Linked DNA regions of Drosophila melanogaster. The protein of the gene in region 4 interacts with the protein of the main gene of each other region in a pairwise test. Each region holds a gene or a part of one and is shown on either strand. Other genes may lie near its edges.

Region 1 (3,152 bases), on a different chromosome or scaffold from region 4:
TATTATTAAATTATTCATGAGTGTGGGCTCTGGTTGCCATCTGCCCGAGGGCACTTAAAATATGAAATATGACAGAAACATGCGAGATAGGAATCAGAGTCTCGTTGTCGTCCTCGCAAAGGAAAGCAGGGCAAGGAAAAGTAAGGCACATGACAGGATCCCTCTGGCCTCCAGTCATAATGCTCAGCGGACGGATGGCGGGAAGAGGGAGCTCTTGAGTGGCCAGGAAGTGGATGGGAGGGAAACAGCTGGTTCCTGCCCCTTGCTGCATATTGTATTTGCACGATAATCGCCTTTAAGGTTTCATGTTAAAGCTGTCACTGCTCTTGGTTAGAAGTCTGTCAATGACATTTCCGTTTACATCCCTTCTCTTTCAATTTAGCAGTGCGAAAAGGGCAAACTTTAGTGGATCACAAGTGTTCAGTTCGTTAAGCTGTTAATATGTTTCCACATACTGAAACCTCTTCTCGTTCCGAATGGCGGTTCTAGTAATATTTAAAAGTCTGTGGGCGCTTATTTTCGTTGTTATACTTTGTATTTCTAGATGCATAAAACTAACTCTTAAATAAGTATAATCAATAATATAGATATCAAACTACTTGTTGCGCAGCAATGCCGCTGGCAAATACTTTGTGAGAGGAGTTACTGCCTGAACCTGATTTTGGGCCTCATTCTGCTCCTGGACGCTTATGGCCGCTGGTGCTGAGCTAAAGTCCAAAACGGGGGCGACACCCTCGTCCGAGCTGCGGGAGCTGCCGCCCAAGGAGTCGAACTGCTGCTGAATGAGCTGCTGGGCACGCACCGCATCCTCCGGGGTGCGGTACTTGACGAAGTGCACCTCCGGCTTGGGGCTTTGGGCCTGATTCTCATTGGCCAGGCGCTGCGCCAACTGACTCACATCCGCCTGCTTGCTGAGCACATAGATGGCCGTCCGCTGCTCGCTGGCCTGTTTGGCCAACTGGAGGGCTGCGTTGGTGAGACCTTGGTGTTCCGGCGACTTGATGAACAGCACGCGGAGATTGCGTTTCAGCATGCTGGCGATGTGCTCGGTAGCCTCCTGATCCGCAAACTCCTCCTCCGGTGCAGCGTAGGTGTAGAACTCCTTGCTGAACTCATCCGCAGCAGCTGGAATCTGTTGTTGCGTGTTCTGCTGCACAAGCTCCTGTTGCGCTTGTTGCTGCTGCTGCTGCTGCGTAGATGTGGAGCTGAATCCTGTGGCCTCCGCATCGATGAGTCCCGCAAAACGACGGTCGCCAGCAGCAGCTTGGTAATTGTAGCCCAATTTTGCTGCCGAAACGGAAGCAATGAGTAAGAGTAACTGGAATTTAGAAAATTATTTTGTTTAGAAAGTAGTTACATGATACATGGATATACACTCTTAATTGATATACGGATTTGAAAACTTTGTTAATTAAGTTCACTTTAGTTTGTGTTTCACTTATGTTCTTGTCTTTGATTTTAATTTCTCACCAGAAATCCTCGCATCTTGAGCCGATATATATTTGATGTCTAGTGCAAAGGATCTGTTTACCACTCTTTTAGTTTGCTAACTGACGTTTGTTGTTTGCATTCCGATGATATTTATACAAGCCCGCGAAATGGGAAATTGGAAATATGACAAATGATGGGCCTGCAATGTGCCAGCGTTTTTTGATTTGACTTGGCTATCGGGATCGGGATCGCATCGGTTTCCGTTTCATCTTCGGTTGCTGCAACCATCGAACTTCGCACATTGGCAACAGTTAATCAGAGATAAATGAGCTTTTAAGCGTTGACACAAAACCCCGGCTCAAGTTACGGGTTACGGGAATTGGGGATACCGCTCGGAACCAGTTTGTTTTTTTTTATCTTTTCACCAAACCATGCAACCTTTGGGCGTTGCTTGTCTTACATAAATCTGCGGAACTACTCGTGTTTGGGCGGACGAACATCAAAGCCGCATACTTCCACAAAAACTATGCAAAATATGCATAATTAATTAATTAGCCGAGCGATTGCGATTTGCATCTTTTGCGGCAGGTTATGAACCCGGTTCAAAGCTCGCTTTCAACCACATCGTAGAGTCGAGTCCATCAATATCGTCAGTCATCGCTTGAGTATCGACGGCAATTGTGGTTTTTGCTGCACGTCAAGGAGTGTTTCAGTGGACTTAACCAATATTGGAATATCCCCCTAGCCGGCCAAGAAATATCCGTCCGTAATCTTCACACATTGCTGCTGTTTATCCGAGCATTGGGTTTCCTGGTTTCTAGCCAACAACAAATGCCTTCAATTAGGCATAAATGAAACAGCAAGACACAGACGCAGACATTGCATAAACAATATTTAACAATAAATAGACACATGCACACACTCAGATTCAAATGCGAAACGGCTCACTTCCTTCGACGTAGCACATTTTGGGCCAGTTAATTGTTCTGATTGTTTCACATAAATCTCCAGAGTGTTTATCTGTGGGTGGTTGGGTGTTTGGTTTTCTGTGTGTGCAGATGCTGATGCGATGTGCTCTAATTGATAAGGTGGTCTCAAGAACGAACGAGCTACCAATTGAATTCACCATAAACCAGTTAAGATGCACACGGCAACAAATTTGATGAGTATTAACAAAGTTTGCATGTCAAAATGTGCCCAGTGGTTTCAGTTATTTTAATAACATGGTAGTATATAATCAATAGTAAAGTGGTTTAACATCGTTTTAAATTTGGTATATATTATAATATGGATTTTCCTCTCAGTGCACGGCATTGTGCGGCTGAGATTTATAGGCCTAAATCACCAGAACATTTCATCAGGCAGCCAGGCCGTGGAGCAATGGCCAGGAGCAACAGGCTTCTCGCCCAGGCCCCAACAATATCCATTTATGCGCATAATGAGGAGTCATACATCAGGGATGACCACAGCTGCCGACGGCTGCTCATCATCCTCAGTCTCATCCAAACGTGGGCAACTTCGCTTCGCCTCCAAATGGCCAGTGGCCGGTATTTACATTTATAAATATGCATAATTTGTTAAAGGTCAAATGAAATCCTGAAAACGGCCTCGAGGGGGACTCGAGCAAAACGCTATTCTAATTTAATCATTTTGCCCATTGGCACCGACGAATTCATTTAATTTGTTGCCAAGCAGGAGGCGGAGGCTTGCAAAAGGTGCTT
Region 2 (7,894 bases), on a different chromosome or scaffold from region 4:
TGTGTATCCACCAGCCGGGCGACATTGTGATGGGCAATCAGGGCACTCCCATTCATTTAGGGGGCTGTGGGTGAGGTCTCGTCGTTCATCTGAATGTCGTCGGCGGAGTAAAAGTCCTGGGTTACCGGGATGACGCGGTCGTTGGTCTCGTCATCCTCCTCATCGTGACTGTCCGTGTCCTCGCTGTCGTCGTTGGCTGCACAAGGGCAATTGGACGTAAAAACGATAATGGTAATCCGAATGCAGTGTCCTGCCGTACTCACCATCCTCGTCGTCGGTCTCAATTCCGGGTATGGTGAGCATTTTGCCCAGCGGCTGCAGATCTGTGCCGGCCGTCTTAAGGGACTCTCGCTGTACGGTTTAAGTTTATAACAATTTATACAGAAAGCGGTGTCTGGAGAGAACTCACCCAGTTGCTCCTTTCATCCTCATAACGCCGCGTCTGCGATTCTTCGTTTACGGAGGCAGGAGCCATGTCCAACCAGTAGCGATTGGCCACGGAGACTTTGAGCGTGGGAAAGAATGGAATCATTGACATTTTCGACGGAATCTTGAATGCGCTGTTTTCAATATTTGTTGTTCTTTCTCTGGAAGCCTTTGATGCGATCTGGCAACGCCGCAACATACGCTGTAAATAATACCAATTTTACAGGGGCGTAGTCGTAGGGGCGCATTAAACGCAAATTACAATATTAATTGTAATTGTAATTCATCAATCTAACTATGTATTTTGTTATTGTCAAGGGAAGTCCGATAACCAAGGGCTTAATACAGCTTACTCAAAAATATATATCTTCACTATTACAAATTGACCTTAAGAATCAGAACATAACCAAAACGAATAATATATATTATTCAAAATCTTTTTATTTATTAAAGAAGCTATAAAAATTGGACAAACTAGACACAGGAACGGTATTCCCTTGCAGTTTTATTGGTAGTAAAGTTCCAGATTCATGCCATCGTGAATTTCATCTAAGAAAGCGAAAAAGAAATGCGGGTAAAGCAAGGCGTTACAAGGACACTAAACAAGGGCTTACAGTCAGATAGGCGAATCGGGTCCTTGAAGATTGTGTACCACTTCTTCAGGACAATCTTCTCGTGCTTTGTGCCCGTTTGTGCCGCGATTAGTTTCTTGAGGTCCCCAATCGTGTCGTCCGGGTTGCACTTGACGCGCACCTGTGGGTTAATCGTTGGTTAACGATGCTTGCAGTTGCCTTGGGTACTTAGCTGCTTACCTTCTTGCCAAGACGATCGTTACACGTTATTTCTATCATATTTTATGGCTTTGCTAGACAAATCACAACAATAAATTCTTGATTTGTTGTGGTATTATTGCTTAGGGTTGTCAAATACCCTTTACCGAATACCGAGTGGTTTGAGGGATCGCTAATTGTCCGCAATGCTATCGATATTTTATTTAATTTTAAATATGTTTAAATAACAATCATATAGAAAGTCGAAGTTAAAGATATCAGAAGTCTGAAAGTATACTTAGAAAGCTCAATTGCTTGTCATGACGCAAATCTATCACATCCTTGTAAAACGATAATATTTGTTAACAAATTTATATTTAAATTTCAGTCTTCTTCTTAGTTATCAAGCCAGAAGTCGAATGTTTCGGCGTTAATAGAAAAATAATGTATGTTTGCATATTTGCACACCTCATTCAAATTATTTTTCTTTGTTGAACAAAAGATAAAAGTGTAAAAATTAAATTTTTTATTCTTGACCCATTATTTCTCTTGGTTAATGAAAACAAATTCCGTTTCTCAACGTTCCCTTTAATAATCCATGTGAACAATCGATAGGCGGCGAAACATCGATGATTGCTAGAATAATCGATGTGTCTTCCCCGTTCATTCGAATTTTTTCGCCGCTCGGAATAGACGTGATTTTGCCGTCGTGACGGTGGAGGCTATTTTTAAAACGGTCGCGGCGCTTGCAAACAAAATTCATATCCAGCTATTCAACGGAGGAATTCATTAGTACGGCAGTACAAGAAATATTACTAAGTATGTCACATATTTGCGGGCAAACTGCCGAAAGCACTGTGCGGAGTTTTTGTTTGTGTGCGTGCGTGCCTCATTTTTACATTCACGTACATACATATGTACATATATGTACGCTATGACGCAGCTGTGGAAAACTTGTTTGGGTTTCCATTTCACCGAATCACGGAATCAACGAATATTTGCGCCTGTGCTGCGAACTCATTTTGGGCAGTAAGCCATTGTATTGATTATCGCGCGTTGTTTGTGGATGGCGTGGTCCGCCGGAGCACCCTGTAGCGTCTACATCCCTACCCCGCTCCCTGGAGTCCGATATCTGTGCGCGAAAGGCCGGGCGGGCGTCGTTTTCGGCTATGTGGCCCAACACCAATGGATCCCCACGGTCACTGGCAGCAATTCGCGATCCGAAATGCTCCGCCCTATTTTTAGACGCGGTCTTTGCGGCCTGCCTACTTACCTACCTCCCCAATGCATTCTAATTAAAAACCGGGCACTGCGCTCATTTCCACACGCATTGCATTGCATAATGCGGCATTAATGTGGCGGGGAAAGCTCGCTTCGGAAAGCACTCGAGCATTGAAGTGAAGAGACCGAATGTTTTCCAGCTGCCCAATTGTAAACAACCCACGCCTAGCACGCACACACACGCACACGCACACACACACAGACTGGTTTTAATGTTTACTCCAAATAAATCGTTGCCCATGTTAATTATTTGTGTCTTCGCAGGGCCCGAGCACTGGAGGGAATCTAATCATGAGCGAAAATACATACCAGATAGAAACGCGTCGGCGGTCGCGTTCCAAGACCCCCTTCCTGAGATCGAGCTGCGACCATGAGAACTGTGAGCACGCCGGAGAGGAGGGGCATGTGCACCACCTCAAAAGGAAATCGGCGGCCCCCAATGTGCAGTAAGTATCTGGGATACTCCCGAAATAGGCCTACGGACGAAGCCCTTTATCGCGAACCCATAACATTATTTTTAGCCCTTATAAGTAGTAAAATTGTAAGCATACAATATGTTTACGGAGTTCGAGTCAATTTCATTTTGAGAATTAGGAGAATTCAGTTTAAACTCTATAATTATTTCCTATTTGGTCCTGAGTCACCTTTTTCTATACTGACCATTGGTTTCAGTAAGCAAGTTGGACTGTAGTAAGACACATCCATAGCGACTGTATGTTTGTATGCCGTGTGCTGCCGCCATGACGTCACCTTTTTGTTATTCACGCTCGCCGCGAATTTGAATTTCGAAGCGGGTAGAAAACGAAGGCAAAGCCGCATACAGGGTGCAGCATCTGGTCGAGCTTCGTTAGTTTTTGGCGCCTATTTCGAGAGCGCCTGGTCGGTCTGATGATCAGTCTTCAAGACTCGATGACGACATTCGGAGTCCAACGTCGGCCGTCAGAAATCGTTTTCACGTTTTAGCCTCTAAATCGAGCATGCTGGGGTGGGCTAACAGTCGTTTGCGCTGAAGGCCAGCGGCGGTTATAAGCATATTTTTGTGTTTTTGTTTTGATACGTTGTACTCGTCGTTTCAAACGATTCCGAGCACGTTATCACGGACTTACTGAAATATTTTTCCCAAATCTTACCTCTTCTCTGCAGAACGATAATAGAGGAGCATATAGTGGAGTCGAGTATCAGTAAGAAAACCCGGGCAAAAGCGTTCGCCCAGCTGACCTCGGACTATTCGAGCGACGACATGACTCCGGATGCCAAACGCAAACAGAACTCGATCACGGCCACAGTCACGTCGATTCTCACCAAGCGATCCGGCGGCGCCACATCGACACCGCGGAACAGAAGCCAGCTGGAGACCACACAAAACACGCTGAATTCCGCCCAGGAAAAGCTAAACCAATCGAACGGTAACCTCAGCTCGGGAAATGTCAGCGATTATCTGGCCTACATCGAGTACAGGGATGCTGGTGAATACTGGAAGTGAGTGAATCATTTCTACACATTTTAAACAGTATACTAATGATGCTATTTTGCAGCAAAACTCCCAAGACGGACTATACCTACTCAGAACTGTCCCCTCACCGACGCCAGTTGGCGCCAGGAATTGTGGCCATGCCCAATATGTCCAGAAAGAGCCTAGAGAACCATAACGATCGAGTCAACTACATGGTCCAGCAGAACCCTGCGCAAGAGGAGTTCATCCGCCGCCGCTACCAGTCCAAGTATACCCAGCAGGTTAACTATGACTCCGCAGATGAACTGGACGCCACATTTGGGCAGCAAAAGCAGAGCTGGTGGCTTATCCGCCTCATCCAACTGGTTGTTAGCAGCATTACCACCGTGTGGAGTCGGGTGACCAATCTCTCGGCCACGGAGACGACTGCCTATCAAAACTACCACGCTAAGCGCCAGCAGAGTCAACAAGTTGGACTTTGGTGGAAAATAGTACAGACCATCGGAGGAGGACTTGCAAGTTTGCTGCGCTACCTGTATGTTTTCATCGGATCGGTGCTGAGTTTGGACACGTGGTTGCTGCGATCCTCGGATGCGGAAAACAAGTCGAAAAAGCGCTTCCTCATATTTCTGCTGATTTTGTTGCCCTTGCTGCTGCTGTCGGGTGAGTAGGATTTAAAGCACCGTCCGATTTTTGATGTAAAGTAAAATATGTTAGAGCGTGTGCCGTGACCTTGTACCGGTTCGAGAATTCATACTACATGCATATAGATCACCTCCAGTCGTTGTATTTATAAACTCGTCTGGTCGTTGGCAGTCGCGTGACGCCATCGATAATTTGTTAGTAAAATCCCGCGGATCAGATTTAAGTGGCCATGTGATGACATATTTTATTTTCCATTCACCGTCTGCCAAGGTTAAACGCCTAATTTGCTTTGCCTTTGCAGGTCTGTTCTATTACATACACCCCAATGAAACTTTCCCACCCAAATCCCTGTCCGAATACACATTCACCCTACCTGAGTTGCCCAAAATCGATGTGAAAGACTACCTGAACCAGGAGCAGTTCGAATCGCTACGCTCTCAGGCCGCCGAGCATGCGGTCCGCGTTCGCGATTGGGCCGACGACTACGTTTTGTACTTGAGAACCATCGGTCAGAACGTGGTCAACAAGGGTCGTCAGTTATTTCAGGGCGATGATAAAGTCTATTATGAGCGTGTGTAGGGAACATCTGCAATGGGCAGGCTACAGCTACCAGATTTAGTGATCTGGTTGGGTGCAACGCCCCTTGCACTTAGACAAATATGAGAAACTTTCTTTATGAACAATATGAGTACAAAATAAAGCATTTGATCCGTTTTTTGTCCGTCTGCTTGACCCGCAGTTTTGCGCACTTACTTTATAGTTTTTCGTCCCGTCATTTACCCACTTCATAGGCAAACCCACCTCTCATACCCCACCATACTAACCGACACAATTCCCAACAAAATGCAACATCACAGGCTGATGGGAGAAGGATAGAGCTCGCCGCTGTTCAAATTGTAAAACTTTCGTAATCGTTAACTTCATTCTTGTCCAACAATTAGGGCCGTTATCCGTCTGGGTTAGTGCCCTAACTAAATCTTACTTGTTGTTAAACAACGTTTAATTGTAATTTGTGCACTGTTTGCTTTGTAATAGTCTATACAAAAATAAATCGCAAACAATTTCATATGAAACATCAAGTACAAAGAAGAGTTGTTTGTTTTATTTGCCATTTGTTGGAAGTTCGCTAAATGGTAAGTAAGATGTAAACAAAGCAATATTAGTTGGCCAGAATCGAACTCTATCCTTCTGCATTTGTGTTGGAATAACCCCAAAAACGAGTTCCCTGTTACCTCAGTCCGGTTGATAATTGAAGTTGGTAGGGACTGTAAATGTAGAAGGATTGCCAACTAATAGTGCTATGTTTAATTTTCTCCTTCCCCAGGATGGTTGCTCTTGCAGGAGGATCAACGTAGTGCTTACGTTCAGCGTGCGGAAGCACTGTTGCCGCTGCCACTATCTATTTTCGGCTCCCTACGTAGTCGATTTTCAAATGCTGGAGCCACCTTGAAAAGTTGGATGGAAGTGCCCACCGTCAGGAGTCCCCAGCGGGAAGCCGAGGCCATTAAGGTAAACATGGCCAGCATTGAACAGAACATCCAGAAAGCCTTGACTGCCGAGGAATACGAAAATATCTTAAACCATGTAAACAGCTACGTGCAGCAGTTGGTCGAGCTGAAAATGCAGCAGCATTCCAAGGAGCTCGCACCGCAACAGATTGAACTCTTTGTTAAGCTGATGAAGGAAAACCTCAAGCAGATTATGTACAAAACGGAGCTAAGCGAAAAGGATTTGTCTGATCTGGCCATAAAACTGAAACTGGAGCTGCAAAGCTCAGGCGGTTGGCAAGATGGAGCGAAACTATCACAAGCTAACTTAGAGGAGATAACCAAGCTAATTAAAGCAGAGGTTCACCTCCACGAATCGCACTACACCATTCAATTGGACAGGATAGACTTTGCATCCCTGCTGGAGCGTATTCTTGCTGCGCCAGCATTGGCAGACTTTGTAGATGCTCGAATAAGTCTTCGGGTGGGAGAGCTCGAGCCAAAGGAGAGTTCCGGTTCCTCAGATGCAGAAGTCCAAATTGAGCGTCTGAACAGGGAAATCGCCTTCATTAAGTTGGCTCTCTCTGACAAGCAAGCGGAGAACGCCGATCTGCACCAATCAATCAGCAATCTGAAGCTCGGCCAAGAGGATTTGCTGGAACGCATACAGCAGCACGAACTTTCCCAGGATAGGCGCTTCCACGGGTTGCTGGCTGAAATAGAAAACAAACTGTCTGCGCTTAACGACTCGCAGTTTGCTCTTCTCAACAAGCAGATCAAGCTATCCCTTGTCGAAATTCTGGGCTTTAAGCAATCCACCGCTGGCGGTTCCGCTGGCCAATTGGATGACTTCGATCTGCAGACCTGGGTACGCAGCATGTTTGTGGCCAAGGACTACCTGGAGCAGCAGCTGCTAGAGCTGAACAAGCGCACCAATAACAACATTCGCGACGAGATTGAGCGTTCGAGCATCCTGCTGATGAGCGACATTAGCCAACGACTCAAACGGGAGATTCTTCTGGTTGTGGAGGCCAAGCATAACGAGAGCACCAAAGCGTTGAAGGGCCATATCCGCGAAGAGGAGGTGCGCCAGATAGTCAAGACGGTGCTAGCTATTTACGATGCCGACAAGACGGGCCTGGTGGACTTCGCCCTGGAGTCGGCGGGCGGCCAAATCCTTTCCACGCGTTGCACTGAGAGCTACCAGACAAAGTCAGCCCAGATATCGGTGTTTGGAATTCCACTCTGGTATCCCACCAACACGCCGCGGGTCGCCATTTCACCCAATGTGCAGCCAGGGGAATGCTGGGCATTCCAAGGGTTTCCCGGATTTCTAGGCAAGTCGCGGGTAAATAGTAATTGCTAAAACAGTCCTTATAGTTTTCTTCCCACAGTGCTAAAGCTCAACTCGTTGGTGTACGTCACTGGATTCACCCTAGAGCACATACCGAAGAGTCTATCCCCCACAGGAAGAATAGAATCAGCTCCTCGCAACTTCACTGTCTGGGTAAGTTTGACTAAGGGTGAAAGGAAGTGGTGCATTTCTAATACGACTTATCCATCAACTCAGGGCTTGGAGCAGGAGAAGGACCAGGAACCCGTATTGTTCGGCGATTACCAGTTTGAGGACAATGGTGCTTCCCTCCAGTACTTTGCCGTTCAAAACCTGGACATCAAACGGCCGTACGAGATCGTCGAACTGCGGATCGAGACGAACCATGGCCATCCCACCTATACATGCCTCTACCGGTTTCGCGTGCACGGCAAGCCGCCGGCCACATAAATCTGTTCAAATCTCTTCTAGTGACCTAAGTACTGCCAGGTGTACATAA
Region 3 (4,281 bases), on a different chromosome or scaffold from region 4:
AGGTCCGTGATATTCTCGATTCGATGCACAAGGACTGCAAGATTCCACTGGCCAAGCTTATGGTAGACGGGGGCATGACTGTGAATAATCTGTTCCTGCAGCTTCAATCCGACCTAGTAGGAATTCAAGTACTCCGGGCGAAGATCGCAGAGACAACAGCGCTGGTTAGTACTTTAACTTGTGATGTAAATGCAGCTTCAATAATGCTTCAAAAATGCTTTAGGGAGCTGCAATGGCAGCCTACAAAGCCGTTGAAAACCGATACCAAATGGAGGCTCCACTCTCTAAATCTGGCCCCCGAGAAGCCATAAAGCCATCGATCAGTGCCACCGATCGCAACCTGCGCTACCAAAAGTGGAAAATGGCTATCGATCGTTCACTGAACTGGGAGACTTCGACGCTTCCACAGGGCGAACGGGAGGCCTTTGACGGAGCGTGATCACAGCTAATGTCTGGTAACGTTCATGTTCTTCTATTCGTAAATCAATTGCTTGGTTTTTCGTATTCGAAATTTCCATTTATTACATATACATATAAAAATGTTAATTAAAAACGTAAAGTGTTTTTCTGTGCGCTGTGATGCTCTGGCAGTGTGTTCCGACTACCAGCCGGTCAGTTGATCTACATATTTTCATCAACTATTCCGACGGCAACAGCGATCGCTGCCTGGTCCAACTCGTTGAGCATTACAACGCCCCCGGCCGCCTCGTCGACGGCTACCACGACTGCTGGACCAGCCACGCCTATAGCTGCGGGTGCGACGGCCATACCGGCAGCGAGCTCAGCGTTATTGGGATGCGGATTAGCCACTGCTATAGGGGGAATCGGATTTCCACCTGAAAACGAATTTGGGCTTTAAGGGAGCTGTTACTCTCCGTTTCGAGCCTTACGCACTTGCGTCCAATTCCAGTGGCGGATCTGCATTTGCTTCCGCTAGATTCGTTACAGACTTGGATTTTACACATTGGAAATCAACATGGCGACTCTTTGCTTCCTCCTTCTCCCAGGACATGTGGATGAAAGGTCGCTGCACATAGCTGTAGATGACTTCAGCCCGTCCACCGGGACGCCTTCGGATCTTCTCTTTGTGGGTGGGGTATCCCTCTATGCCACAGCGTATCTTCTTCAGACCGCGATCCTTCATCACCTGTTTGGCCACATCGCGGTTCTCGATGTACTTGAAGAATCGGTGCATGGCAGTGCTGTGCACGGCTGCGTTAGAAATGTTAGTGTTGCTTCCACTTCCGTGATACTAATGCAAACACATTTTTTAAATACACTCACTCTGACAATACTCCTCGCCCATCTGAGGCGGAAACTCTTCATCCCACTCGACCATATCGTCTTCAAGGAGCACCACAACGTGACACTCTCGATCCCCGCGCTGCGCCGAGGCCACCATGAGGGGCAGAATTAGGTCCTCAAGAAAGAGTTCAAATTGTTGTCGCGCTCCTTCGTTGCTAAGCTCGTGGAGAAGGCCTCCTTTATGTCAAACATAACAGAGGGCATGTTACAAGGAAAGAGACGGAAAACAAGCAGAGGTGGCCACAACTAAGGTTCGCCCTGGCAGGAATAGTTCGCGTTATACTCACTTAGGTTCTGGCAGCGCACCGTGGTTGCGTCGAAGGGAATGAGCAGATAATCACAGGCTTCTTTTAGTTCCGGTACCGAAACAGTGGGCGGGCAGCGGATAACACCGCTTTTGTAGTACTCCAGAATGGCTCTGAACACTAAGTGCGAAATGCCGTCGGCAACGTCGTACTCGCCGCGCTCGTTGGTATGAGCGAACTGGAAGCCGGAGCCGAACATCGTGCCAAGCATTGTGGTGGGATGTGCTGTAAGCAGTGATTGCTCCACCGTGAAGCGCACACCGTCCACCAGCATGGTGATCCTTTCGGGAGGGAGCGGCAGGCGGCCCATTCCGGAACCAGTTGCCTGGCAGCTGGGAGATGCTCCGCAAGGGGATTTTATGTCGTGCTTGGGCACAGCACCTCCGCCTGACATATTGTGCTGCGGACGGTTCAGCCGGCTGCGCTCCTTCAGGATGCGCCTCCTCCGCTCCTCGGCTGTTTCGAGAACTTCCTCGCTGCTGTCGCTACTGTACGTGTCCTGCTTCTGGGCAAGGGGCGCCTTGCTACTGATATTGCTACTACTACTGTTCAGACTTGGAGTGTTTGACATGTTTGTTGCGTTTGATGAGCCACTCTTCAAATATTCCAGTACAACACCGTTCCACCGACTTTTCGAGAGAGACAAAGACAATCTGGCAGAGGGCGGTCAAATTAGCGAGGCTCCGTTGAAAAAAAGCCTGCTTATCGCTGCATCAGAGGTCCGATTAAATAGTATTCACGTTACCTTTGTGCGACGCGACTTTTTCCTTTTTACATATAGTTATAAATATACATATTTTTTCTTGTTGGTGCTGGAGATGGGCTCCTGGGTGCGCTCAGTCGATAGTTTTCCTCTGTAATCACAATAACATATTTTTAACCGATATTTATCTTCAATCGCGATGTTTGTTTTCAGCTTATCGGGTTTTTTTTAACGAATAAAAAATTCCTCTCTAAAAAAATAAAAAGATTGTAATTTCATCATTTCGACATTGTTTGTTACATAATTATTAACTTCTATTAAGTTAAGAAAATCTATAATATTTAGAGGTAATAATAAGAAAATTCTTAATTAACATATCTTAACTTAATGGAAATAACTTTTTTTTTCAAATACAAATTAATATGAAAATTCTGTGGAAATTAATTAAATGTTGTTAAAACAAAATACAGCGTTGGGCCGAATGCAACTCTGTATATACCCAAGCTGTGTATCGATACCGACCACCGACTAAATGCACTCGATAGTTTAAATTTGCAACCGTTCATCATGGCGATCTGAGAAAAATAATTTTTGCTCAAAAATAAAATAAATAATCAAAAGAATTGTAATTCCTGCGAACGCAAATGCGATTTTGGGAAACGTGAGTTTGATACGGACGCTTCACGAAATGCGAAGACTGTGAGCGGTCTTCGGTCAGTAACAAGTGCTTGGCGTGTGTGTCTGCGGCGGCAAAAAACCCAAATGTAAAATATATAACAAAATCCCAACTCCCCCAAGAATGGGCAGTGCGAAAGTGGCGCCCTGAGTGGGCGTGTCGCGTGCGGAAGCGCTAGCGACGAGCAGAGTGGCTGTCTAGGTTTGCGGATAGCAATAACAAATAAGTTGTTATAATAAAAGTGTAAAAAAAAGTGCAAAAACTTTGATTGCTTCTGAGTAGTGAAGTGTCGGAGGGGTATGCTGGGTGCCGTGTATAAGCTGGCGGATGCAACACGAACGCCACCTGCTTGCCTCCTGCTTGCACTCACGCGCATAGTAAGCGCGCCCTTAAACGAGCGTGCTATGTGCGAGCGGGAGGGCGCCTGTGGGTTTTGCACCAGTCACCTATTGGCAGCTTGAACGTTTTTCTATATTTTTTGTGTATTTTCGGAAAGCATAGAAAATGTGGACACTTACTGGGAACGCTCCTAATATAAGCGAATAACCCACAAACATATGCCTTCTCTCCCACCAGACTAGCGAATGCTCGTCGAGAATCCAAACCAGTGAGCCAAACGCCAAAGAAAAACTTGCAAAAGTCTGTGGATAAACAACGAACAATAACAAAAGGCAGCAAGCGGAAGGTGGCAGTGGAAGTGGACTAACTCGCCCGTGGAGAAGTGCGGAGCACACAGGACTGCAAAGTGGCGTCGCTACTGGATATTAGGGCTGGGGCAGCAGCGGCGTCCATGTCCACGGGGCACAAAGGGTGGACCACCAAGAATCACGACCGCACCACATCCAGGAGAGCGCAGCAGCAGCAGCCGGTGTGGTGTCGCCAACTGTGGCCTTAAGCATGTAGTAAGTAAATTTGGTTAGTAAATAAATCGCGTGAAATACGTATTGAAGCTGCTTTTGCCTTCTTACTTCTAGGTCTTGCAGCAAAGAACCCGTTCTCTAACAAGCACAAGACACAAGGGACAAGGTACCAATCGAAGCAAAAACACACAAATATCCAATCAACACCAATGAAAAATGTCACAAAGAGGTAAGCGCGGTAATCAGCAGCATCACCAGTCGCACCATCCGCCGCCGCAACAGCATCAGCGCAAGGATGTTGAGCCGCAGCCGCCGCCCACCAAGCGGCGCAAAGGTAGGCCACCTAATGGAGCCACTACGGCAGCAGTAGCTGAAGTGACTGGATCGGGTCCAGCTACAGGATCGGAGCGTGTGCCAGTTCTGCCTTTGTGC
Region 4 (7,848 bases):
TTCTTATTTTCTGAAGACAAAATCGTGGTTTGCTTTAGTTTCCCTGCATCTGTCATCTCCTTTTCTGAAGACGAAAATAATGTAGATTTTCCACTAAGTTTTAGTGTTAGTTTTGGTATTTGATTTGGAGATATTCCACTTGTGGCGGCACCTAACGATGGATTTATTGTCATGGAACTTGATTTCAATACAGGTTCATCGTTGTTAGCTAAAGGCACCTTGTCAAATTCTTCTGTGTCATCTGGTATATGGACTAAAATCTAAAATAAGAATTGATTAAACTATAAATTTAACTTTAAAAGATTTTGCTGAGATATGTGTATAGACTAAAATAAAATTTGTAAGAACTAAAAATATAACTTTAAAAGATTTGGCTGCTTTACATGTTTATGTAGGATTAAGATGTTTTTGTACCTATACCAAGCTGTAGGCTTCGATGTTATAATTAGTCACAACAGTCTATATAAGTATTAATACAAATTTGGAACATAATGTATAATGTATAATGCATAATGCATAATTTAATGTTATTATACGGAATATGTTCACAGAATTCATGATTTTAAAAATGTTTCCCACATAACTTGCTGTTTTCAAATGAGTTTGTGTACGTACTTATCGCAAAGGTTGCTTATCAGCTCCGGCGTATCTACATATCTGATCCAAATACCACAACACGAACACCTATTTTTTTATAAATAAAGAATTGACACAAACCTGCTTATCTTTATCCTTTTTCTTTTCTTTTTTTTGCCTTTTATCATTGGCCTTTATTTTCCGGTCGGATTTGAAAGATGGTAAGCCAATCTGATCCGCTTTCTTTGATTTGTCCTTTTTCTCTTTCTTTTTTTTATTTTTCCCTTCTTTAACCTTTTTTAGCTTTTTGTGATGTTTCCGCATTTTCGGTTCCAACGACGTTAATCCAGTTGGTGTTATTGTAATATCTTCGTAGTTAGAAAAGGTAGAAAAAATATTGTGCTCTTCTGAAATTTTGATTTGATTCGGTATGGTTCCACCTAAGCTACTGAATGGTACTATTTTGGAGGAATATTCCGAATCACTCACTCTCGACAGAGGAATAAGATCTGCTCCCCCAGCTAAACTGAATTTGTCACCTCCCATAAAATTAGGCAAGTTAAATTGTGGAAATGATGAATGTGAAGCTGGCGTGTGGGGTACGCTTTTTACATCGGGAAAACTCTGTTTAACAAGTTTTTTAAATTTTTTAAGTGGTTCGTTAGAGCTTAGAGACACAATATTCCTTAGATCCATTTTGGATTTTTCTTCACCATTAGATGCAGCTGACGTAAACGAGGAGGGATTTAGTTCTGCGAAGCTGGTTTTAACATAAGTTGGTGATGATATTGGGGTTTTTCTTTGAACCATCTGCCTGTTGTGCATTGATTCATCTGAATCATCTGAAACCTCTATTGGATCATCAGGATTTCCAGAAGCCTCCAAAAGCGGTTTCGTGTTTATTTTGCTTGTAGCCTGTGCAGATGGGTTTTCCAATATTGTGCTGGCACAAGATACGCTTTTACCTACAGATATAAGTAATAAGTTATTTTTAAATTACAAATATATTTACCGTTAAACTTACACTCGGCGAATTTCATTGAGTCAGGTACTAATGGAGCAACATTGCAGTAGTTTCGATCCATTTGCAAGTCAGTTTGCGTGGAAGATCGGCTCAGAAATTGATCAGAATCAGTAACTAAAAATTATTTTTTCTAATCATTATAAATATTTAAATATTTTGGTCGACAAATAATTCACATATTGTAGGTAGGTACGTATTGTCAATATAAAAAAAAAATTTGAGCTCCTCCAAATATCTAGTTTATGACAAACGCAAATATTTCATACTAACCCATCTAGAAGCTTCCCAATACCACTTCTTGAGTGTGTACCTATACCTATTTTCTACATTCAACGGTTCAATGATTAGTTTCAGATTAGTATTTTTGCTGTAATGAATTAAGATATTGCCGAGACTTTTATGTAAGCAATATATTCTTCGAGCTGTGATACTCGAACTGGTATGGTAAAGTAAAGTTTGGGTCAACAAACTTCAGCTGGGTTTATGTCTCTAGAATCTTTATGCTTAATCTCAACCTACTAGCTTTTTATAGTTCATGAGATCTCGACGTTCATACGGACGGACAGGACAGGATCAGATCCACTCGGCTATTGATCCTGGTCACGAAAATATATACTACGTATATATACTACGAGCAATGCGTATAAAAATAACTCATTTGACGTACCAGGAGAATCCTTAATTGGTGGACATCGAACAGTATCCGCAACTGATTCTTCTGGTCCAGGATAATCTATGAACGGCGAAATAGGTATTCTGTTACCGTGATTCCCGAAGCCAACTAAACCAGTGACTGCAGGAAAAAGCCCAGGTCCAGTAGGAATAAGACCAGGTCGTGGTGGAAATTGCAATAAAGGAAGCAACGGAACCATTCCTGTTTGAATTCCAGGGTAAATTGATGCATTTGACAAAGCATTGGATATAGTCACAAATTTATCTGAACATTGTACATCATTATTTTGTTTTGTGGGTCGAATAGAATTATGTAGTGTTGATGCCTTTTCAGGAGAACAGCTCTTGTCTAATTGCATTACATTTTCTGGTAATGATTTGTACTTTTTTCTGTCCTTTTTTTCTTTTGCATACAGGTTTGACAAAAAATTATTCGAGGGCTGTTCGGTATTACACAAGTTGAGAGGTTCTGTTGGCGGGGAGACGTTTAAAGAACTTTGGGTTATTATCATTGGAGATGATGATAGAGGCAGTGTAATAGCTTGGCTTGACTTTTTCCGTTCGACCTTATTAATTAAAGGTTGCGATACAACATTTGTTTGTTTTATTACATTTTTTCCTCCAGGTTTGCGACCTCGCTTTTTTGGCTTTGGCGAATCAATAATTGACATTTCAACGCCTGCTTTAGTTAAAGGTATAGTTCCATCGAATATATTGCAAGGGTTGATTTTCATACTCGGAACGTTTTTGTTTTCAGAATTTAGACCAAGTGAAGGTGTAGGAGTTATAGTAGTCCCCGATGGAAGACTAATTAATGCTGAAGGGGTCATTGTGCTTCCAAATACAGATACCCCGGTTCCAGGAGGTACTAAAGTCGCCCCAATATCTGGACGTGGAGTACGTGGCTTAGAAATTTTCTTAAAAATGTCCAATTTACTTCGTTCTGGTTCTGATCCACTTTTTTTTTCTGCCAATAGCACTTGCGTTTGTTGAATTACAGATGGCTGCACTGGATAAATTGAATTTCGAAAATTATTTTCAATCTGGCTTGTTACTGTTGGCGGCTGACTAGGGATATCAGCTTGTAAAGCATTTTCATTTGAGTTAGCTTTTATGGCAAGGCCGCTCGTAGTTTGAGAATTCTGCAAAAAGTGTTTTTCGTCGATGTCCAGTTGAAGATCATTTTGCTTAAGTTTGGACTGCTTCTTAAATATTTTTTCTAAATGTTTTTTATTTGGATCGAAGGATCCGCGGTTAAATTTTTTTTTTAACTTTTTCATGTTTTGTATTTGATTAATTGAGCTGTCTCTTTGGTTCTTTGAGGTTTGTTTATACATTTTTAAAGCTTTTCTCTGTGACTTTTCCTGAGCTTTTTCAAACGGATTAGTTAGAAGTTCGCTTTGACCGGGTTCGCATATTAAATCATGTTTCTGTTTTCTATTCTTCTTAGGTGTTGTAACAGTTAGCATCGTATGGTTGTTAGACGCATATATTATTGAAGACTCTGAATGTCCACTTGTCAATAATGCAGCATTTTGTTTGAAGATTTTAGTTTCTGAGGGAATGATTTTTCGTGGATTTACTGTTTTGTCTCTGTCAGAAAGCGCCAGTTGTGGAGATTTTTGTAACGAATTTACAATTATCGTCGGTGAAAAGGGTGCATCCAAACCTAAAAATTTTTCTATAAACACCGATACATGAAAATTTATTAAGCTGTGGTATAAGGATAGGTCGTACCAACTATATCCGGTATGATATCTTCGGGGAGCTTGCCTTCAATAGCTGGACTTATGAATCCCCCTGTTGTCATTACCACGCTGCTCATTTCGCGGACTGAGCTCCCAACGTCCAATTCAAAGGCATTCGACCGGAAATTTATCACAGTATTAGGAGAGATAGAATCAATGTGCTTGGCGCCTAACTTATCAGCTGCGTTTGTTGAACTATACTCTGCTTTTGAACAAAACTCTTGCTTTTCCGAAAATTCCTTTTGAACATCGGCTGGAATTTCACGAAGTTCGGGGTCCTGCATTGGTGGCAAGTATTCAAATATGTAGACAGGTCGCGTTAGAGTTTCAGCGCTTCCAGGCTTAAGGAAGTTCATGTTTACAGATTTTCCAATGGGAAACTGTGGTACATCCCGGATGAATCCAACAGGCTCGACATTACCTATGTAGTCCAATAGTTCTTGAACATTGATGCTGAGATTTTTTATACTTAAGCGTGCATCCTTAAGGTTCGGCTCTATCCGATTTGCTAAATTAGTAATATATATACTTGTCAATTAATATTTTTATAAATTTTATCCAAATAAACAAAGCATTTTTGATTTTTTGTTTGGTTTTAATAAGATTTTTTTGAACTCATATAAATAACGTTATTAAGTAACATACCAAGCAAAATTAAAAAGAAAATATAAGAGAACGCTTTAGTCGAGTTCCTCAACTATTTATTTTTATTTCTGTTCCGGTGGTTACAAGGAAGATATATCTTAATCTAAGATATATCTTAATCTAAAATATATCTTAATCTAAGATATATCTTAATCTAAGATATATATAAATCAAAGATTTATTGTTTTTTTTTTTTTGGTGTTTACAAGACAATTAATGAAATAATAATTTGCAAAAAATACAATCTACATGCCTATTGAGGTTTCATAATCCCCAATCGAGACCCCGGCAGTCCCACAATTCATCGCTCCTTAAAAACATCCCAAGATCATCGGTTTCGCCCACAGTACCAACTGCTTTGGCTGCACAGCCACAAGCAGGGAATCAGCAATAAATTATGGATCTTTTATTTCCAGCCGAATGCTAAGCTGACGCTCTAAGTCGCCGAGCACATAAGTTTCGTAAGAAACTTTAAATTTTTAATGCGCATCGGAACTAGAGAAATTATATACTGATGTAGGTGAAAGGGACTGGGCGAGGAAAAGGGAAATAACAATAAAAGAAAGAAATAAATTAAAAGATTACTTTTCTAAGAGGCACGCTTCCTTTTTCGCGGATAACTGGGACTAGATTTATGCGAGTAGCAGGCGCGAGCTTAATCAGGAAATTCCAATGGCAATGGATTCATTTTACACGCAACAACACGTACTACTCGCAGAAGCGATGTACATTTTTCGTAATACATTTCTGTACACATTATACTAATATATTTTACTTTAAGGTTAAACGGACAGGTTGACCGGTATTCTAACGCAACTGAAAGCAAAATGCCCTAACTCCAAACAAAATTGTTTTAATGATAAATAATGATTTATTAATGATAGTCTGATGGAACTGCAGGGATGATAAGTTATACATTTATGTACATGTACATATATGTCACATACTTTTTATTGAATCTCTTATTCTACAAGTAACGACTATAACTACTCAGGCTTTGTTGTATTTCATGATCGGTTCCGTTGATTTGAGGGTCTATACCACTTACCGTGTTCCATATGTCTATGCATGTCTCGAGCGAACTCCTGTACAAACTTCTGCAATATGTCTTGCAACAACTCCAAGGGTGCACTTAGAGTGCAGCTGTAACCAATAGTTTGCGTTATCTGCGCAACGACAACAAGGGCCAAATCTGAAGCGTATCTGTCTGCCATCATGTTCTTTCATGAGGTACACCTTCTTTAGAAAACCTTGGAAATGCTGTGAATAGGTTTAACCGTCCCACGAACTTCCTCTTGTTATTAAAATTAATTGACTTGGTGTCTACACCTTTATTAGACGAACTACAATCTGTGGATGTTTAGTTAACGATAACTTATCGATTTTGCCTTTGATGGGAAATATATCGATATTTGGGGTATGCCAAAAGTGGTAATCATGGGGTTCAATCAAATTCAATTGATTGACCAACATAAACAAACTGCAATTTTTTATGTGGTTTGAAAGTGGTTATAAGGGCAGATAAAAGGTTTGCTTTCGGTATGTTCGCTGTTAGTGTTCGAATAAGACACAAATTTTGAAAATAAGACGAAAAAGTTTTCTAATCCTTCTATTCTTTAAAATAGATATTGAACGATGGAAATATAATTAGAGCTTGTTTAATAATAGAGCGCTTGAATGCAGAGTGAAACGAGAGTCTTGTGTTGTTACCCGTAAAAATGTTTTAGTTTTACTACTACTATTACTATTATTACTACGATTACTTACTACAAATTTTAACAGCATCTAATGTTATGTTTATTGTGGAAAGAAAGTAATGCCCAGAACAGCTATGAAATTACCGAATAAATAATAATATAATTATAAATATAAATAATATATATAAATATAAATTTAATAAAATAACATTAAGCCTAAAATCGCTTCAAAAATATCATGTGAACTATATCCCAAACATGTGTATATATGCAGGTAATTTAGTGGAAAGAGGGTATAATGTATAATGACACAAAACTACTGATAGAATACTAGTTATATTTTCGATCAGTTTAGAAGAAACTTATATCTTAAGACATTTATTGGGTTAGGTATTGTTTCCCATATATGTTCTAGTCGAGTATTCACACAAAGAAGCGTGCGACAGATCTTCGGCACTTAATATTTTGTATTTGTAATAATGTAAAATATAAAAATTAACAAATAAAACAACTATATGAACATTTGCATGTGTTGGGTATATGTGTAAGTCTAATAAAAAGTTTTATTCTACTTAAAGCTCAAATCCTTTAAACTTTTCAGCTAGTTATTGAAATACTCAGTATAAATGAGTAAGAAGATCTCCATCAACATTGATCTGACCAACGTTTTACTCCTTTTTTAATCTAATAAGAACTAAAAAATGCAACCATTGAACTCGAGCATTGATAAAGCAAAACATTTTTTCATAGAGAGCGGGATCTTAGGACCCGTTAACTTTAAATATTCTCATGACATGATTCGGAAGACGTCTACCATTCACATTGACGAAACTCTTAAGAATCAGGTAAGGGTGGATAATCTGATTCCCAACGAATACACGTTTACACCTATGTTAACCATAATAGGTGTATAGGTATCGTATTTCCTTACATATACTGAAGATTTCATATGCAGTCGGTCAGTTATCGAGTAACTGGTTAGTCCGTCTGACTATCAATCTGAACGCTGTGATCTCGGGAACAATGAAAACTAGAATATTGATATTAAGCATTAAGACTCAGTCACAGAGTCTGTAAGAGTTTGTTTCATGCCGTTGCGACGCTTGCTCCAACGACGACGCACCCTCAATATTCATACGGTCACAAAAAATCAATCAACCACTAGCAAAAACACGAATACACTTCAGTGCGCAGATTTCTCATTTTGCGCATAATGTACGAGCTCAAAGAAGCTGGAGTCGAAAAAATGGAATTTTTGAAATTTAAAAGCTGGAATCGTTTGCTCATTTGTTGTCTTTATTTGCCCACGTTTGGCCACTCTTTTCAATTTTGAAAAAGTGAATACTTTAGAAAATATGAGACGTTCTAGTTAACCTCGGTATTATTATTTTGACCATCTCTTAAAACTAAATATTATAAAAAAAAACTTTTGCCCAATCAGTATTCTTAGTTTTTATCGTTTGTCCATCCTTTAAAATTAGTTTTT

The links.
Region 1: the proteins of Taf3 (region 4) and TwdlQ interact in a two-hybrid assay, tested with the Drosophila melanogaster proteins (one large-scale study listed by BioGRID).
Region 2: the proteins of Taf3 (region 4) and koi interact in a two-hybrid assay, tested with the Drosophila melanogaster proteins (one large-scale study listed by BioGRID).
Region 3: the proteins of Taf3 (region 4) and mri interact in a two-hybrid assay, tested with the Drosophila melanogaster proteins (one large-scale study listed by BioGRID).

What each region holds. Positions count from the first base shown.
Region 1 is NT_033777.3:26,692,039-26,695,190, forward strand, and holds TwdlQ (TweedleQ), read right to left. Parts: upstream 1,553-3,152; 5' UTR 1,486-1,552; coding exon 1,471-1,485; intron 1,319-1,470; coding exon 596-1,318; 3' UTR 508-595; downstream 1-507.
Region 2 is NT_033778.4:6,809,161-6,817,054, forward strand, and holds the start of koi (klaroid), read left to right. Parts: upstream 1-1,858; 5' UTR 1,859-2,015; intron 2,016-2,627; exon of another isoform or gene 2,628-2,741; 5' UTR 2,742-2,768; coding exon 2,769-2,923; intron 2,924-3,371; exon of another isoform or gene 3,372-3,534; intron 3,535-3,620; coding exon 3,621-3,956; intron 3,957-4,012; coding exon 4,013-4,593; intron 4,594-4,876; coding exon of another isoform or gene 4,877-5,154; exon of another isoform or gene 5,155-5,652; intron 5,653-5,899; coding exon 5,900-7,399; intron 7,400-7,456; coding exon 7,457-7,569; intron 7,570-7,632; coding exon 7,633-7,845; 3' UTR 7,846-7,894. Other genes in the region: CG15237 (uncharacterized protein), read right to left, coding at 57-196, 264-351, 410-538; ubl (ubiquitin like), read right to left, coding at 932-975, 1,041-1,179, 1,239-1,277. UniProt on the Drosophila melanogaster protein: Component of the LINC (LInker of Nucleoskeleton and Cytoskeleton) complex involved in the connection between the nuclear lamina and the cytoskeleton. Is required to nuclear migration in eye and to anchor klar in the nuclear membrane.
Region 3 is NT_037436.4:198,372-202,652, reverse strand, and holds mri (mrityu), read right to left. Parts: upstream 2,480-4,281; 5' UTR 2,182-2,479; coding exon 1,593-2,181; intron 1,483-1,592; coding exon 1,285-1,482; intron 1,213-1,284; coding exon 895-1,212; intron 837-894; coding exon 622-836; 3' UTR 501-621; downstream 1-500. Other genes in the region: Gk1 (glycerol kinase 1), read left to right, coding at 1-164, 224-439; rno (rhinoceros), read left to right, coding at 4,066-4,281.
Region 4 is NC_004353.4:460,788-468,635, forward strand, and holds the start of Taf3 (TBP-associated factor 3), read right to left. Parts: upstream 6,042-7,848; 5' UTR 5,883-6,041; coding exon 5,714-5,882; intron 4,529-5,713; coding exon 4,010-4,528; intron 3,954-4,009; coding exon 2,268-3,953; intron 1,715-2,267; coding exon 1,601-1,714; intron 1,542-1,600; coding exon 718-1,541; intron 627-717; exon of another isoform or gene 261-626; coding exon 1-260. Other genes in the region: CG33941 (uncharacterized protein), read left to right, coding at 7,064-7,207.